Canis lupus familiaris: one gene and its partners. The protein of the gene in region 2 binds, or shares a complex with, the protein of the main gene of each other region. Links are inferred from orthologs where the notes say so. Each region holds a gene or a part of one and is shown on either strand. Other genes may lie near its edges. The genes, in order: AIFM3, NMT1 and HPCA.

Region 1 (3,743 bases), on a different chromosome or scaffold from region 2:
GGATCTGCCTGGTGCAGGTGACTGTTACCCCTGTCACTTTTTGGTCATCCTTACAGGACAGCAAGGCCCAGAAAGGGGAGAAGGGGCAAAAAAGCCAACAGAAGGCACCAGATAGGACAGAGTTGGTGGGCTCTGATGTACTTAATGGTAGATGTGACATCGTTTCCCTGGAAAGTGTCATTCATTCATTTCCCACATAGTCACTGGATCCGTTTGCTGGAGGCACAAGCTCTGCCTGGACACAGTGCAAAGATGGAGACAATCGGGACCCAGAAACACGAGGTAACCAGGAGCCAGGATATCCCGCCTGATCAACTCAGTCTAGGAAGACTGGTCAGGGAGGGCTTCCTGGAAGAGGGGACACAACCCCAGGGCGCATCATGATTTATAGGGACCCGGGACGTTCTCCTGATATAATGACAGATGGGAAAAAGAAAATGTAATAAAATATAATTTAAGATAGACCTTATGAAGTGTGGGGACAGGGGAGGGAGCCAAGAGACCAAGGAGACTGAGCCCCCAAAGGGAGTCAAGGTACCTACGGAGCAGTCGCTGGAAGGGGATTTGGGGTTTCCTTCTTGGGGAGGCTAGACTCCCACTCCTCACGTCGCTCAGGATTCGAAAGACAGGAAAGAAGGAGGAACGAGCTCGGGACCCGGCGCGCCGCCCGGCTTGGCGCCCCTCTAGGGTCCAGGGGATCCCCGGGAAGCCAGACCCCGCTGGGGGCGTCCGCGGCCAGAAGGGCCCCGCCCCCGCCCGGGCCCGACCCCGACCCCGACCCCGACCCCCCGCCTACCCGCAGGGACCCGGCGGGGCGGTGCTGGGCGCCGCGGGCTCCCGGCCGCAGTGTCGCCGCAGCGCCGGCCCCGCCCCCGCCCGCTCCTCCCCCCCCCCCCCCCCCCCCGCGGCCGCGGCCCCGAGCGGCTCCAGAGCGGAGGCCCGCGCCGAGCCCAGGTGAGCGCCCGCCCCGGGGACCCCCCGGCCCCCGGTCCCGGGAGACCCCCTCACCCCCGGCCCTCGGCCCCGCCGCCCCGCACGCCGGCCCCGCGCGATGGGGGCTGGGGTAGGCGGCCGGGGAGGGGGACCAGCGGGGGCCGGAGCGTCTCGGCCCCTTCCCCGCTGCCCCCTCCGCGCTCGCCGCGGGGCCCTACTGTGTGCCCGACCCCCTTCCCGGCCGCCCGCGTGGGCGAGGGCGAGGGCGCGGGCGAGGGCGAGGGCGAGGTCCTCCCGCAGCGAGGGGACCGCACGTGCCAAGGCCCGGAGAGTGCGCGGGAGGCGGGCGCCGGCCCGGGGGAGCGGGTGAGGGCGGGCAACCCTGACTCCGTTGCCAATCCCAGGGAGGCTGGAGGCCACGGAGGGCCCCGACTGGAGAGCATCCCCCCATTTCTGCCCAGCCTGCGCTGGCCTGGGGGGCGGCGCCCAGGGGAACAGGACCCAGGCTCCTGGTGGGTACTTAGCCCTTGGGCGCTGTTACAACTTCTCAGCACTGGGTAGTGTGTGGGCAAGGGACAGCACCCCACACAAAATCCTGGGGTGCCTCCTGCTGCTCCACGGGCAAGAACCTTTGCCTTTGAGGCCGCAGGGCTCCAAGGGCCTGCACACAGTAGGCCTGGAGGCCTTTCAACCCCCAGCAAATCTCTTTCCAGACCCCAGGCCCCGGGAGGGCCTAAGACATCTGGGCGTCTGGGAAGGGAGAAACAGCCTAGATAGGGACCTGGCAGCGAGCGGAGGTCCCAACTTTTCTGACTCCTGCGGCCCAGCAGGTGAAGCCTGAGACCTGGCAGGAAGGAGGTGGGCAGGGCTGAGCCAGAGGAGAAGCCAGGATCTGGGGAGGGGCCCCCTTGCGCCCAGGGAGGGGCCGGGTGGGGCAGGTGGGAGCCAAGTCAGGTGTGGTGAAGGGGGAAACGGTAGCGGTATGCCCAAGTGGCCTTTGGGTGCCGCTGCCCCCTGAACTGTAGTGGGTGGGTCTAGCGCAGGTAAGATCAGGTGCCAGGCAGTAGACGATCCCTCCCCACTTTTCCTCCTGTCTTCTTGGTCCCCTTGCTCTCAGGCACCCACTCAAAGCCTTTGCTGGGATCTGGGCAAGACCAAGGAGGCCCCAGCCCCACCTCAAGTTAGACTTCAGGAAGAACTTCCAGGGGAAACACAGTGGGACGGACCAGGGGGAGGTCATTTGTAAACAGGGCAGCTACACCTTTGTCCAGAGCCTTCCAAAGTCCAGTCTATAAGCTGCATCTTCTGGAAGGCCCACCCTGTGGCCATGAGGACTCTTTGGCTGCAGGGATCTCTTTGCTGACCCGGTGACCTCTCCCCCAGCCCTGTCTCTTGCAGGGTGTTATGGGGGCTTCCTGGGTCCCTGCCCATCTTGAAACTAACCAAGGGGGGTGGGAGGCCGCCTGGTTGCCCCTGCCTGCTGCTTGACCTTGCCAAGCCCTTGGCCTCTCAGTTTCTCCATCTGCTGTTGGTTGTGATCTCAGCACCGCAGCCCGGAGGGCATTTGTGGAGGGGGGGCTGCGTCCAGGGTGGGAGCTCATGGCTGCTGGGCATGGGCAGTGTGCCTGGCCTCCCGTTCCCCCAACCCCATCAGGCCTGGGCTGGCCGCCCACTTCTGTTCACCATGGAGCTGGGTTTCCCTGGGGACCAGTGGACTGGCCCAGCCGCACCCCCCCAGTCTCTCCTGGCCTCACTCACACTGGGAGGAGGGGTGGAGGCTTGGACCCCTGCCCCCCCTTGCCCTGCCTTCCAGGGCTGGGAAGCCTCCATCCAGGAGGAAGAAGCAGTGGCTGCCCCTGGAGGAGGTGGGTATCCAGGGGCTGCCAGCCAGGGTGGGGGCCAGGGCCCAGAACTAAATGTGACCCCCATTGTAGGAAGGAGAAACCGCAGGATCAGGAGGGCTCTGATCTGCCTGAGGAGACCTAGGGTCCGACCCCAGGCGTGGTGGCCTCCCTGAAGAATGGAGAGTTCCAGGGCTCCCAGGCTGCTGGATTTCCAGTGGGCTCCCGAAATCAGGATTTACCCAACAAGGCAGCTGTGGCCCTGGACCTGAAAGAGACGCTGAGATCTGAGCAGAGGGCCCCCTTGGCAGTAGGCACAGCCCACAGGCAAAGATGGGAGGGGAGAGTGAGGGTAGCGAGCCGGAGGGCCTCCAAAGGGAGGTGCCTGCCAGGGTCCCCTACATATGCAGTGTTTCCCAGCTCAAATGTGCGCGTCTTCTGGAAGCCCTCCCCCAGTGTCTCTCCCCACAACCCCCATCAAAGCCCTGGTCCCTACAGACGCCCCTTGTCTCCCCTGCAGGTCCTGGAGGCAGCTCCAGCAGGAATGGCAGCTCCAGCATCTCTAAGGGCCATGGGGAGTCCAGCCCCACCTGGGGCACCCTAGGCCTCCCACAGCCTTCCATCTGCGTACCTGCCCCCCCATTGATCTGTGGGCCACTCGCCATGGGTGGGTGCTTCTCCAAGCCCAAGCCAGGTACCTCCTCTCTTCGCGCCTCATTCTTCCCCCTCCCTGCCCCCTCCCTGCCCCCTCCCTGCCCCCTCCTCCTCCCTGCCTCCTCCTCTCTCCTCCCTCCCTTCTCCAGCCACCTTCCTCCTCCCCTTCCCCCCTCCGCCTCCAAAGTAGGTCAGGCTGGGCGGCAGCCTGCTCTGAATATTAATTCCCTGCAGGCAGGAGGGGGTGGGGGGCCTGGAGCCTTCTCTTGGCCCCCGTCCAGTGGGTCCCCCTCTTTATTTGGGGCTTTGGGGGCT
Region 2 (3,643 bases):
CCCCCGGCTGTAGCTGTTGTCCTCCTCGTTCTCGCAATCGCTGCAGTGCTCATGGCCGTTTCCGTTCCCTTCCATCATCTGCGGCAGCGGAGGTGCCGGCGGCTTCACTGCTGTCTCACTCTCGTCCGCCATCTTGAGTTGCGAGAGCCGGCCTCCGCGCCTCGCTACATAGGGGGTTCCTATTGGACGAAAGGAACTTGCGGTTTATTCTGGGTTTTGTAGTTTTTGTGGCGAAGGGAGCCGTAACGAGGAACACCTCATTCTCGCGAAACCGGAACAAAGTGACTACAATACCCAGAAATCATGAAGGGGGCTGTCCTGGCTGGGGGCCAGCACTACCCGGAAGTCCTGGGCGATCAGCCGCGTTTTGAGGAAAGAGGGGCCCCAAGGTTGGCGGGGCCGACGCTACGCGATGGGGCGGCCGCGTGGCATGCTGGGAATTGTAGTTCGGTCCTTGCTTAGGGTTTCGGGATGAGGCGCCAAAATACAAGGTTTGACCTCAGCCTGCCCTTGTCAGTGCCTGGGCCACAGGTGAGCCGTTATTGGCTGCCGTTAAGGACCGTTACCATTCCCGGGTAAGTAATGAGGCCTGAGGCCTGCGGGTGGTACCCACCGGGAGCCCGAAATGCGTCGGGCCTTCTTGGAGAGCCTTTGCTGTAAGAAGCCAGGTTGGCTCCTGGCCGCCTCTCCTCACTCGGGACTCTAGGTGGCCCCTCTTCCTTGGGAATCCGAGGCCTCTCCAGAGGCGGTGGATCGTGGTGCGCAGAGCACTGATCCTGAGCCAGGAGCCCTGACTGCTCTGTCAGGCTTTGCCGCTTCTTGGTCTCCACGAAGCTCACACAGTGCCCTTAGGATTCTCCATATCCACTTTTTAATGAGCACTTCTATGCCAGGTTCTGGGGTGAGGCTTTTCGTATATCACATTTAATCCTCTCAACAAGCTGAGAAAGTGCGTTTGTATTATTATTACCCTTTGGCACAGGCAAAGAACTGTGGCCCAGATTGGGTGGTCAATCATACAGTCACATAGCAAATAAGTGGCAAAATCAGTGTACAAATTTGGATCTGTAGGCCCCTTTGGCCCTCTGAATTCTTTGATACTACAAAAGCCCCATTGTTTCATCCACCCAAGAAAATCAGTTATTAGAAAGTAATTGTGACATCTTAATCTAGTTTTAGCATTGACTAAATGCTTCAATCCCTTGGGTCTCACCCCTGTGTTTGAGTAATTGCACCTGAGTCTTGAGGACCAGTGCCCACAAAAAAAGGACTGGTCTTTGCCATCAGGAAACTCTCAAGGTAGAAAGAGGGAGAAACAGGGAAGAAACCCTTCCCATTTGACTCAGGGAAACAAAAAGGGAGCTAAATATTGTCCTGCTTCATTTTTCTCAGTGGCAAGAATAGAAGTAAATATGATCCGAAACAACAGATAATCCCCAGTCATTTATCTCTGACTTACACCCACTCAGTTTGAGTGCTGGCACCCACACTCATCTCTCCCAAGACCAAGATCGCAATTAATATGATGTCTTATATGCAGCTGCAGGCCTGAGGAAGAGGTCAGAGATAATAATAATAAAGCATTCCGTGTGTTAGATGGCTTTAACTTGTACGTGTTCCACCTGCTGTAGCTCATGGGACCTTGCAAAGTAGGGAGGGAAGGGGACTTGAAGAAAATTGGGACTTGTCCTCACCTGCAAAAAAAAAAAAGAAAAAAATGACGATACCTAGTAGCAGAACCAGAATCCACATCTGGTATTCTAATTCCCAACCCTGTCTTTTCTTTTCTCACTGATAGGCAGATGTTGAACACAAGTGAATGAAACATGACCAGGGAAGAGTGATGATAGGGTCCACTGTGGACCCTGCCATTCTTGCAGTTCAAAGCTTAAGAAAGGTATTACTGTGTATTTTACTGCAAACTGAGCAGTTTTTGCTCAGTGGAGAGTCTTTCTGGGAGGTAGATAGGCAGGCAATGTGACTGTCATGCCCAAGCTCAGAATGCAAGTACCAGTCCAAAGTTCTGGAATCCAGCACCTTTGAGAATTTGAGTTCAAAGGCACCTGAAAGGCACTAATCCCCCCTCTCAGGATCTTTCAAGTTAGAATGCTCACTTCGATTTTGTAGAATCCATTCTTTCTCTGTAATAAAGTTTAAATGTTATGGTTTTTAAAAGAAATTGAGTATATGTGATACTTTTTAAAAATGACCACCGAAAAATGAATATTGCTACATGTGATTTTAGTATGTAAGTTTACTTCCGAGAATGTTGTGATGTTGGGAATGATCATCAAAAGTAGTACAGTGTAATTTCCTAAATTGGGTCTATGGATGGTTTTTTGGGATCCCAAGAGTTCTCATATTTGTTCCTTTTCCCTACCCCCATAACAGAGAGACTTCCACTTTCAGACTGTTTTCATTGGTGGAAAGTTGGGCAAGTTCTGCCTTATGCAATTAATGTGGAAGCATATAATCCTTGCCCTTTACATAATTGTTACATGTTCTTCAATTGATTTCTAGTTCCCTAAACTTCTTTTTCCAAGGTAAACACTCCCAGCTTTCTGAGTGCCTCATCACATTAAAATAGCAGGATTCTCCCGTCTAGCTCTGCTGGCTTTTTCTACCCCACCCTACCCCCGCCCCATTCTGGCAGGAGCATTCTACAAAGGCAGTGGGGTACAGCACGGCCCAAAGAGTGGCTGAGGAATGTGCCTGTGAAACTTTTGCAGATTCTGGAATTTACTCCCGACTGTGGATACATCTTTTATCCCCTCACAGTTTTTACTGAAGACAGTAGAATATAGTGATTAAGAGAACAGGCTTCAGAGTCTTAACTTCCTGGGTTCTAAATCCTGGTTCTACCTCTGCCTAACAAGTGACCTTAGGCAAGCCACTTAACCTCTCTGAGACTCAATGTCCTCACCTGTAAAATGAGACCATGTAGGCAAAACAGTAAAGTGTCTGAGACAGTCAATACCTAATAAATTATTATTTCCCTTCCCAGGAGGTCAGCATTACCTGTGATAAAAACTTTCTCATGACATCCATCACAGATGTAGGCCTTTGCTGTAGTCCCAGTGTATCAGAGATCCATTTCTTCTAATGGGCCTAGGAAAGAATGGGCCAGGTTGTGATTCATTTATTCAACACCTTGAAGCACTCACCACTTGCCAGGCTTTATGGCAGGAACTAGAGAATCTGGATGGAACAACACAGTCCCCATCCTGGCTTTGCTCCACAAGTTGGTAGCTATGCAGATTGACATTTATGGCAAGTGTGTGAGAGAGAGGGAACACCAGATGTAGCAGGAGCCTGGAGGGACCTTTAACCTGGGGAAAGGGGTTCTACAGGGGAAAAGATGAAAGGGGAAAGATGGTTGAGCTAAGTTTTCAAAGGGGAACCAGACAAATGGGGTGGGGGGAGGGCAGAGTTGGGTGCTGTTGAGGTCCTGCAGAGAGAATTATATGAGCATTTTGGAGGTTGAGCCTGGAGAGGCAGTCAGGAGTCAGACCAGGAAGGGATGTGGACACCACACTAAGGGAGTTGGGTTTTATCCTGAAGACTCTTGGAAGCTGCTGAAAGATTTTTAGCTGGGGAGAGAGATGATAAAATTTTTGTTGTAGAGCGATCATAACAGGGAGCA
Region 3 (3,743 bases), on a different chromosome or scaffold from region 2:
CTGCTCCTTCTTTGCTTCACATATGTCTGCTCACTACAAAATACACCTGCAGCCCAGGCACTGACCTATTATCCTGTTCTCTCTTCCACACATGTGTGCCTGACAAAGGCCCAAGTAAGGTAGATGTTAACCTAGGCAACAGAACCAGACCACCTGGGTTTAAACCTCAGCTCTGCCTCTTACCAGCTAGGTGGCCTTAGACGAGTTTCTTATACTCTCTCTGCCCCATCTGTAAAGCGAGGGTAATAGTACCTACCTCATTATTATGGGGATTGAATTAGTTAATACATGTGAAGCACTTACAGTGATGCCTGCACATATATGTGCTATGTAAGTGTTAAATAAAAATGATTTACATGGACCCAGGTGCCACAAGACTTATGCACAACAATATACAAATGAATACACACACAAATTGTGGTACACAACTCACCAAATCCACACACTGGCTCCCATGCCACTCACACACCAGCGCACAGCCACCCATGGGTCACCATGCCTCCACACATGACAGCATTCCCTCTGCTCCACAACTCACATGTTCTGACACACGGCACCACTCACGAACAGCTCCCATACCCTATGCATCAAGACACCAGCCCACGACCCCACATGTCTCACACATGCCATCACAAGCCAACTCCCATGCCGACACCTCTCACATGGCCAGCTGCACGTGGAACCCTCAGGAACCCTTGCCATCTTTCTTTTCCCAGGGGTGCTTCTAGGTCCCAGGAGAGGGAGCCGCAACCCTTCTCAGACCTACTGGGGGGCCTCTCTTCCAGGGAGAGCCCCGGCCAGCCAACCCTCCCCCAACACTTACCTTTTCATGTAGGAGTTTAGGGTGTGGATGGCTGAGGGGAAGGCAAGGGAGAGGAGACAGCCAGGCAGTTCCAGGCAGGGATGTAGGGGAGCATGCAGGTGACTCCCTCCTCGCAGCCTGGCACTGGGAGTGAGACAGGATGAAGGGGTTCCTTGTGTGTGCATCTGCATGAAGCTCTGTGCACATGTGGATGAGCATCTGTGTGAGTGCTAGCGTTCATGTATGCACATATGCCCCTGGTTTCTGCATTGCCTTTGACTCCCGTGTGTTTCAGTCCATACATGTGCATGTGACTAGGTATGCACCCATCACAGTATGAGGGGGATGTGCCTGAATGGCCATTTGGGGGACTTGTGTGTGTCCTCAGCAGTGTGTCACATGCATGTTTTTGTAAGTTGATGACCCTCCTTTCTAAAGCAGCCTCTTCTGCCCCAGACTGAGGACCCAATGAACAAGTGTGTGTGTGGGGGGGGGGGGGGGGACTGAGGAAATGCGTTGGGCTGGGGCGGAGGAGTGTGTCCCTTAGTCCCCTCCTCAAGGTCCAAGGAACTGGGTCATCGGGGCGGGGGCTGAGAGATGCATTGAGCAGGAGAGATCCTCCAGTGCCCCCTCCTCCCTGCCACCCTCAGAGCTGCCCCTCCCAATCGGGAGACTTGGAAACGAGGGTGGTAGGAGAATCTGTTGTCTCCGCAAAGACTCCCTCGTCCCCCAGATGGGAAGGACCCACGGCTCGACCTGAGCAACTCACCCCCGGGGATCCTCTCCAAACCTCTCCCCAGTTCTCGCCCTGAGCCCACGCTTCAGAGCGCCGGGCGCGGGGCCCCTCCTGGAGGGGGCGCTCCGAGGCGACCAGAACGCGACTCCTCCCCGCTGGCCACTCGGCGGTCAGGACCCTGGAGAGCGCCGCGCTCCTTCCCCGGGGGAGCCCCCTTCCCCCCCGCGCCCTGGGCGGGAGGCTTCCCGGGAGGCGCGCGAGCGGCGGGGCTGGAGAGGTTCGACGGGGCCCCCTCCCTCTGGGCTGCCCCCTCCCTGCACCCCCCGGCCCCGGCCGGAGCGGCCCCCACTCACCCAGCGACGCGGAGACACCGACTGCGCAGGGAAGGCGGCGCTGCTGCGGCGCGCGGCGGCAGAGGCGGCCGGAGGGGCGGGCGGGGGGCGGGGGGAGGGACTGCCAGGGAGACGCCCCGCGGCGTTCGCCCGGAGCCCCTCCCCTGGGGGGGTCCCCGTTCCTCCCCTTCCCCTGCAGCCCCGGAGGGGGGAGGGGGCGGTGCGCTTGGCTCCGCCCCCGTCCCTGCCCGGGAGAGGGGAAGGGACGCCCTCACTTCCCTGGCCCCCTCGTGAGGGAGCGCCCGCCGGGGGAGGACAGAGGTTTCCATCTCCTCAGCATCTCGATCAGGTAGCCCGAATGGGGTCGGGGGGGTCACTGCCCAGAGACCTCTTTCCGAACCGGGGACAACCCCGGCAGCTCCGCCCGCCTTCCTGCCCCATCCCTACCTGTGCGCGGAGCTGCACGTCGCTCCGCGGGCGGAATCCGGAGCCTGGGCGGTTGGATAGGCACCTTCCCTGCCCCCGCGCCTCAACTCGGGAACTAATTGAGCAGGAGGCTCTTCCGCGAGGGGCAGCGCCCACTCCTCCGGTCCCGGAGGTCTTCGGGGGAAAGACACGCCCCCTACCCTACCTCGGCCTTAGAGAGCCCCGCCCCCATCTCCTGCCTACCGCCCGGGATCTCCTACCTGGGCTCCTCTCAGAATGAATCCCACCTCCCAACATTGATCTAAATTGCTCCTCCCATACCCTTCCTCCCCCGCCTCTGGTCCTAGGTGAGGACTGGGGAGCATCTTCAGTCTGGAGGGGTTCTGAAGTGCGTAGGGACCTCACCTGTAGACAGGACAGCCCTTCTCCCGAGTCCCTGACCCCCATCACAGCTCCTCCTGCCAGGATGGAGGCTGCATCCTCCTTCCCCCAGCTTCTGCAACAATCCCCACATCCTTGGCTTGAGTTTTTCCTTTATTTTTAGGAGGTGGTCCTTACTGTCCCCTCTTCACAAATGAGCAACCCCTCAGAGGGGTTAAATGATTTTTCCCCATGTCTCACAGCTGGTGAGTGGAAGGCTTGGGCTTGACTCCATATGGCCTCATCCATTCATGGCACAAATGTTCATCAGGCACTATTTCTGTGCCCAGCATTGTTCTAGGCAGTGGGGTTACAGAAGCGGGCAGTAAACAATGGACAGAATAGACAAGTCAATCCTATGATGTATTAGATAAGTGTTTGGGGAAAAGTTGGTGTTCAGAGGTTGGGGTGGTGGTGCTGCTTAGGACCATCCCAGAGACTTTAGATTTTATTCCAGGTGAGATGGAAAGCTCTTGGGGCTTTGAGCAGAGTGAGGGTCTGACTTTCAGGTCAAGCTTAACTCAGGGCATTCTGTCAAGAACAGACTTTGAGGAGTGGGGGCCAGGGTAGAAGCAGGGGACCATTTCAGGGTGAGAGAGATGGGTCTGGTTATTTTGAAGGTGAGCCCACAGCATTTGCGTTCTGACCGCATAGCTCCTGCCAGTTCAGTGGCAGCAGCTGGGAGACCCCCGCCTCTCCAGGGCTCAGACCAAAGCTCCACCTCCAGGTCCTAGACCAGGCAGTTTAGGTGTTAGAAGTCTAGCCTTAGTACTTCCTGCATGAGCATGGGGAGGTCTCAGCTGTAGGAGCTGGGGAGCCAGGCGGAGGGATGGGGGCCAATTGGGCCCTCTAGAACATCAGTTCATCTGTGTGTCTTGGCTCTGGTGTTGGGACCCCCAGTGGAGGCGTGAGAAATGCCAGACATGCGTGGGTGATTCCCAGCTGTCTCCTGTGTGAGGCCCTGGGGGCAGGGAGCCAGCTGCCACTCAGCTCCCACCCCAGGGCCCTGGAGCAACAAGCTCCCTAC

The links.
Region 1: the proteins of NMT1 (region 2) and AIFM3 are in contact, whole or in part, in a crystal structure (PDB 6SJZ), measured with the Homo sapiens proteins. The link is inferred for Canis lupus familiaris from reciprocal best matches to the Homo sapiens genes NMT1 and AIFM3. Residues at the interface, in NP_066565.1 of Homo sapiens: Tyr180, Val181, Glu182, Asp183, Asp184, Asp185, Phe188, Arg189, Phe190, Asn246, Thr282, Ala283, Gly284, Tyr296, His298, Phe311, Tyr401, Ser405, Ile469, Gly470, Asp471, Asn473, Leu474, Leu495, Gln496; in NP_001373743.1 of Homo sapiens: Gly2, Cys4, Phe5, Ser6, Lys7, Pro8.
Region 3: the proteins of NMT1 (region 2) and HPCA are in contact, whole or in part, in a crystal structure (PDB 7OWM), measured with the Homo sapiens proteins. The link is inferred for Canis lupus familiaris from reciprocal best matches to the Homo sapiens genes NMT1 and HPCA. Residues at the interface, in NP_066565.1 of Homo sapiens: Tyr180, Val181, Glu182, Asp183, Asp184, Asp185, Met187, Phe188, Arg189, Phe190, Tyr192, Ile245, Asn246, Phe247, Thr282, Ala283, Gly284, Tyr296, His298, Ser300, Lys310, Phe311, Ser312, His313, Tyr401, Leu403, Ser405, Tyr420, Gly468, Ile469; in NP_002134.2 of Homo sapiens: Gly2, Lys3, Gln4, Asn5, Ser6, Lys7, Leu8, Arg9.

Annotation. Positions count from the first base shown.
Region 1 is NC_049247.1:30,699,252-30,702,994, reverse strand, and holds the start of AIFM3 (apoptosis-inducing factor 3), read left to right. Parts: upstream 1-901; 5' UTR 902-954; intron 955-1,341; exon of another isoform or gene 1,342-1,445; intron 1,446-2,665; exon of another isoform or gene 2,666-2,798; intron 2,799-3,294; 5' UTR 3,295-3,437; coding exon 3,438-3,468; intron 3,469-3,743. UniProt on the Homo sapiens protein: Induces apoptosis through a caspase dependent pathway. Reduces mitochondrial membrane potential.
Region 2 is NC_049230.1:18,342,029-18,345,671, forward strand, and holds part of NMT1 (glycylpeptide N-tetradecanoyltransferase 1), read right to left. Parts: intron 3,109-3,643; 5' UTR 3,019-3,108; intron 576-3,018; exon of another isoform or gene 295-575; intron 180-294; 5' UTR 133-179; coding exon 2-132; intron 1-1.
Region 3 is NC_049223.1:67,862,166-67,865,908, forward strand, and holds the start of HPCA (neuron-specific calcium-binding protein hippocalcin), read right to left. Parts: upstream 2,551-3,743; 5' UTR 2,318-2,550; intron 1,974-2,317; exon of another isoform or gene 1,892-1,973; intron 1,721-1,891; exon of another isoform or gene 1,572-1,720; intron 1-1,571. UniProt on the Homo sapiens protein: Calcium-binding protein that may play a role in the regulation of voltage-dependent calcium channels. May also play a role in cyclic-nucleotide-mediated signaling through the regulation of adenylate and guanylate cyclases.